Linked DNA regions of Tribolium castaneum. The protein of the gene in region 1 binds, or shares a complex with, the protein of each later gene. Links are inferred from orthologs where the notes say so. Each region holds a gene or a part of one and is shown on either strand. Other genes may lie near its edges.

The links. Proteins that work in one complex are often made in the same cells at the same time.
Region 2: exosome complex component MTR3 (region 1) and exosome complex component RRP43 share a complex: the UniProt entries of both Homo sapiens proteins name them as parts of the RNA exosome core complex. The link is inferred for Tribolium castaneum from reciprocal best matches to the Homo sapiens genes EXOSC6 and EXOSC8.

Annotation. Positions count from the first base shown.
Region 1 is NC_087396.1:13,655,917-13,659,101, reverse strand, and holds exosome complex component MTR3, read left to right. Parts: upstream 1-1,519; 5' UTR 1,520-1,659; coding exon 1,660-1,822; intron 1,823-1,876; coding exon 1,877-2,562; 3' UTR 2,563-2,587; downstream 2,588-3,185. Other genes in the region: X-ray repair cross-complementing protein 6, read right to left, coding at 1-1,218. UniProt on the Homo sapiens protein: Non-catalytic component of the RNA exosome complex which has 3'->5' exoribonuclease activity and participates in a multitude of cellular RNA processing and degradation events.
Region 2 is NC_087402.1:7,982,119-7,985,358, reverse strand, and holds exosome complex component RRP43, read right to left. Parts: upstream 1,722-3,240; 5' UTR 1,594-1,721; coding exon 1,577-1,593; intron 1,524-1,576; coding exon 1,349-1,523; intron 1,305-1,348; coding exon 1,010-1,304; intron 964-1,009; coding exon 843-963; intron 796-842; coding exon 588-795; 3' UTR 518-587; downstream 1-517. Other genes in the region: CycA (G2/mitotic-specific cyclin-A), read left to right, coding at 2,073-2,219, 2,275-2,709. UniProt on the Homo sapiens protein: Non-catalytic component of the RNA exosome complex which has 3'->5' exoribonuclease activity and participates in a multitude of cellular RNA processing and degradation events.

The DNA of each region.
Region 1 (3,185 bases):
GAGAGCACTTGGGATGGGTTGGTGATCATCATTGAATGGAATTGTTTTAGCGACAAAAACCCTGCTATTGTTCATAAACTTCGGGATAAATTCCACGAAACAAATTTTATCAAGCTTTTTCAATTTTCGGAAACAGACAAGAACTTTGTTCTTTTCCACACAATACTGCCAAAAACTAGCAAAGAGGTCCAGCTCTTCCTTAGGATCCACCTCGATGATTACCGGGTTTGTCAAAACAATGCCCACATCCGTGACCCTGTCAGACACCTGAACTAGGGTGTAACCAATTGGTAGGTCTGTGTTTCTAATTTTGAAGCGTTCACTAACACTGAACTCGAGTGAGCCTAACTCATAGTCAAGCTTGTAGGTTTCAATGGAGTCATTTACTGTTTTTGAAACCTTTTTCAAAAGTTTTCCACTTTCGGAAACGGAAGCGTTGTTGTAAAGTCGTTCCTCTTGGACAAACGACTTCTGCCTGATTTTAAGAAACCGTGTTTGGTCATTCGCAAAAGGGAAAAACAGCAACCTCCTTTGATAAAATCTCCTGACAACTGAGGAAGAAAGTTTCTCAAATAAACCATCTTCATCTTCCACAACTGTCTCAACGGGAGGGCTCTTAATGATTGAAAATAACTCATTGTAGAAAATTTTATAATCGAAGTTGGGCTTCATGGTCACCAACTCGAAAGTGATATCATTAGACTCGAAATTTTTTGCTTCGTTAAGTGCAGCAAATCTTTGGTTCTTGTCACCACGAACGGGGTTATCGTCGTTGGTTATGAAAATGATCGTTCTTTTGTAGAACACCGAATTGACTTCCTTGAACTTTTTTTTGCAAAAGAGGAAAAATGAACTCAAATTTAAGCCGCTTTTTCTTTCATACATATCCAACAATTTTTCCTGCGACAATTCATTCTTTTCTTTAAGCAATTTTATTGATTGTAAGATGTTATCGTTGAAATTGACAAGCGACGCTGAAGCATCTTCACGTGCCAATACCACACCAAAAGGGCTCCAGCTTCGCTTATTTTGGACAAATATTAGCGAATTTGCCAGATTATAACAGGCAGAAATGCAATCCTTAAACGGGGTATTGCCATCGCTTTCGTTTTTAACAAACATCGAAGGGTCGGTATCGATTGCAATGAGGACGAAAGATGGTTTGTAAAACGTGTTAGAACTTGCAGATTCGTCTCCTACGTCTTCGTTATCTGACATCTGAAAAGAATAAGTTCATAAAACATCTTTATTTATAAACGTATTATCAATAGGTAGTAACATTTCTCACCTTGATTAATTAATTAACAGTAAACAATCAAAAAGAACAACAGCAACAAGTTTACACAAAGTTGCGCCAAATTTGACGTTTTGTTGACAATCCCCTTGAAAGCGAACCACCAGAAAACATAAATCCAAAAATGCGAATAAATAAGTCTAACATTTACTCTAACTATATGTTGCTGTACAACGGCACAAATTAATACGCGCCTAACGTAGTTTTTATGAAAAAGAATTAAATTAATTGTGTTTTCTATTATTCGACTTTGTGAGACTTGTAAACCTTGAACTTGGAATGGTTGACAATTAGCTATATAACCTTACTTTTTTCTAACATAACCTTGAACTGAGAGATTTAAAATATAATTTGCAAAATACACTATGCCCGTGGATCACAAAAGAATCAACGGTCCGGAAATTTCAATTCCGTACCAACTATTCGACAAATTAAATACAAAATCGTTGAAAACCCAATTCAGTGAAATAGTGCAGCCGAATGGGACACGAGCCGATGGCAGGACATCAACCGAACATCGAAAAATATGTAATTTGTCTTTAGGCCCTTGCGTGTTCCTTGATCTAATTTTTAATTTTCTAGTCTTGAAAACTGGGGTTGTTAGCCAGGCCAAAGGCTCAGCGTACATTGAATTAGACCAAACCAAAGTAATCGTGTCTGTATTCGACCCCCGCGAGATACCCAACAAAACTGACTACAGTTCCAAGGGCGAAATCTACTGCGAGTTTAAATTTGCACCCTTCAGCTGCCACAAACGTAGGTTGCACCAGCAAGACGCTGAGGAACAACAGTTCAGTGCTATTATGAAACAAGCGTTGGAATCGGCAGTATTCAGGCACGAGTTTCCGAATTTTCAAGTCGATATTTACGCAATGGTGCTGCACAATGATGGGGCTGCTCTAAGTGCGGCTATCACGGCAGCTGGGGTCGCCTTAGCACATGCTGGGATTCCAATGTATGATTTAATAACGTCAGTGACTTTAGCTGTGCAAGGGAATCATCTTTTGGTCGATCCAACTTTAGAAGAAGAACGTTTATGTCAAGTTCCTCTGTTTAAAGAAGAGGAAAACAATCACGGGATTGTTGTGCTGTCGGTTTTAGCGACACATGAGCAAATTTCACAATTTTATCAGAGTGGATATTTGTCGTACGCTTGCTTGAGTTCAGGCATTGAGATGCTTACTAATGCTGCTAAGGACATCGTTACTTTAGTTAAGAAATGTCTTGTGAAACATGTTATTAAGAGTGTAAGAATTGTTGAAGATTAAAGAAATAAATTATATTTTATTTAAATATTTTTTTCACTGTCAAGTAAGGCACTAAAGTTGAATTTTTATTACAAATATGGAGTTAAAAAAACAAAAAAAAATTCGCGAAGTATGAGAACTTTGGGATGTTATGCAACCAATAATACAGACTTTAGTAATTCAGTCTTTTTTAAACACTTTCAACACGATATAATTTATACTGAGAAGTACTTCTTGACATACACTTCAAAGTAGTATTGGAAGAATTTAAGATTTTGCTCAAACAATAAACGAATAAAAAATAATACCTTTTTAATTTTTTTCTTGGTCTCCGTGGTGGTCAAATTCAGAAATTAAACCGTTGAAAGTATAGAAATATGATGTCCTAGACTTTTTGAAAAAAAATTACTTCTTTACAATTTTTTGTATCTTCAACCATATTCGCAGCATTCGCAAAAATATAAAATGGAACGTAAATTGAGCGTTAATTCTTTGCGCACTGTCCCATATTTATCAAAATGCTGGGAATACGGTTGAAGATGCAAAACAGTGTATGGGACAAAGTTGTAGAAAATTAAATTTTCTTTAAAAAAATCTGGACACCATATTTTTATCTTCTACAGTTTAGGTATAAATTAACTTTG
Region 2 (3,240 bases), on another chromosome or scaffold:
AAAATATTTGTAGTATTAAGATATCAGGCATAAACGAGGACAAAATGTTATACTTTATAAAACATCAACGATGTAAAATTACACATTGTTAAAATATACAAATTTTTATTAAAACCCCTATTATTTATTGTTCCTGGTATTTTTCTACTACCATTCCTGTCCTAGGCGCAAACTTTTAACTGTACATACAGTAGACTTATTTCCCTTTTGAACGAAATGTGTAAAATACTTTGTAAAAATATCTAACATCCTTAGTCTCTACATTTGTATCATATGTGATTATGTGGTGAGTTGTAGTATTTTGTAATAATGTATATTATTTGCAATGTTTCGTATTTTTTGTACATAAATTCAGACACGTGTTGAATATTTGGCAATACCAATATGTATACTCGTTAAAATGTAAAGTGTTGATTTTTCCCGATTTTTATTTTTTCAATCCTGTAACAAAGACAATAGATTTTTTTATAAATGTGTGGTGATTTAATTTTAAATTCGGTTAAATGATCACACAACCTACTGTGGAACCTGTTAAAATTTTTATTTAAATAATATAGGATATACATTTATAAAAAAAAATGTTTTTATTATAAACTTTTAAAAGCTGTTTCTATAATTTCCTCAATCACAGTTGCACGTTTTGTACTTTCTTCCACACACTTTAAAAGTTGCTCTTCCGTAAAAACACAGCCACCTGGCTTGTGAACAAAACACAACTCTTCTTCCTTCACCACAATTGTCACCAAAGACGTACTTAAGTCCTCCTCATCCACTGTTGGGTCTATGAGAATTTTACTACAATCAAAAAATTAAAAAGTTTACAACAACAATGATAAGCTTACTCATCAAACATTGCAAACGTTGTTGCTATTGGAGTGTTGGTAACACTAAGAGCTTTCCTCTCTTGCACATTCACTTGCTTGTTGTCAAGGGCTGGATCGTACTGAACCGCTGGCAAAGTAACTGAAGCGCAATTATATTTTTCACAAAAAAACAATATTGTCTTTACCTGACTTAAGCGCTGCCATTAACGCAACAACACACGCGTCTATCAACGCCCCATCCAAATCCAAACAAATTAAATCAGCATATAAACACCAAGCTAATTTGTCTGGAAATATACATAACGTTTTTAAGTCTAAACAATCAGAGTTTTTTAAAATATCGGCAACTAACTGGGTCGCTACTTGGGCTTGTTCAGTTGGGGGTCCTGGCCGAAATTTTGACGAACACAACGGTGGTAATTCCACATTGGGGATCAAAAACCCCTCGTTTGCAGCCTCAGCCTTGGGCTGACACAACTCCTAAGGTTTGGTTTAGCAAATTGAATGCCTCCAATTACACTCACCGCTTTAATGCCGCAAACTACCGTCGTGCGACCAACTTTGGCAATCGCAGACCCATCGGCTGTCGAAATTGAGCCCAAATTGACCACGATGGGGCGATATTCCCCAAATTCGCGCCCATCAGGTCGGATTTTGTGGGCCAAGTGGTCGCGGAAGTACTTGACGGGGTGCAAAATCCTAAAACATAGGATAATCACCTTGTTATTTATTCACAGTACTACAATTATTACTTGTATTGTTCTGACATTATTGAATTTGTTTATAACCACGTTTTTCGTTTTTGACAATTGACATTATTAATGACGTTAGTTTTGATTGGTTGCCGACAACGGTGGGGGAAACGTTTGATTTGAAACGAGTAAATTCGGTTGAATAATGCAATTTTTGTAATGAAGACATTTGCTTGCAAATAGGGCATTTGGTTGGGAACAAGTATTGTCGATTGATTTTTGATTTAGTGCAAAATTCCGTTAAACCCTTCAAAACATGTTATCCCCACTCGTGTGACGTTGCTTAAATCTGGGCTCCCATTGGTCCCGTTTGTCATTTCAACGGTCTCTCAGCTGTTCGTTTCCCGCACTCTGCGCTCTTTGCATCTGGCCGTTAAAAACAGTCGTTTTGTCGGTTAGGGGTAGCTTGGGTGTTTAAGTTGGGGTTCAGTTTGGCCTTCGGTTCAGCAAACTTTTCGTTTTTCGGGTATTAGAAACTTGCACGTGTGTTAGAGGAATGGCATCGATAAGAATTCACCAGGACCAGGAAAACCGGGTGCCGGAATTGCGCCGAAAACCGGGAACGACTGCCCAGCAAAAACGGGGCGTTCTGGGCGAGATTGACAGTAATAAAGTTAATAACGCAGCCCTTAAAGGAAAACAGGTAATTAACAGTTGGAGGTAACTTTGGATGGGAAAAACGTTTGCTTTTTTGCCAGACGAAGAAGCCAACCGTTTTGGGAAACCGGGTGGAAAATGGGCAAAAAAACGAGAATAAGAAGAATGTCGTGGTTCCGGTGGCCCAGTTTGAGGCGTTTACTGTGTATGAGGATGATGAATACAGAGCGAGAATCGATGAAAGGCTCAAACTTATCAGTAAGAGTAATGTGTATAAAGGGACGGCCGAGGACAGGTTTATCACGAAGACAGAACTTGCCGAAATTGAAAGGAAAAAGAATTTGGAGAAATTGAAGGAAATTACTGCGCCTCAACTTAAGAGAAAATCGGAGATTCCGATGAGCATTGAGAAATCAGATGTGGAGAACATTGAGCTCAAAGAGCAAACGGTTTCCACAAATACCAATGCTAGAGATGTCTTTTTTGAAATGGAGGAGTATAGGGATAGCATTTTTGCTTATCTCAAAGAACATGAGGTAAAGTATCTTCAAGAACGACGAGAAAATTATTCCAAGTTTTTTTACATCCATTGACATTTATTCTCAATTAAAAAAAAAAAAACAGATTGAAGCCCTTTTTATTAACAACTTTGACTTTTTTTGAAATACTTTCGGGGCGGGAAATTTCATTATGGCTTTAATTTCGTATATTATATTCCATACTCTACGTTGTGATATGTTAAAAACATGAGAACACTTCAATTTACGATTTTTACCTATAACTTGAAAACTATCTTTTGTGGACTTTTCTCTAGAGCCTTTAGATGTGCCAAAAGCGTCAATTGAACCGGTTTTATAAAATCAGATTTATCAATTTTTGCGAAAATTTTGGTTGATTTCGATACCCGGAGCATTTATCGGGCAATAACTCCGGAACTGTTTTCCACGACCTTATTAAGATTGATCGTTGAAAAGCTTTTTTTATTTTCTATCTGCGACTGAAGAAATTGCTACTAAATGCAAAAATAGAAAGAAATTATTTCTGTAGATAACTTCAAAACTGTTACA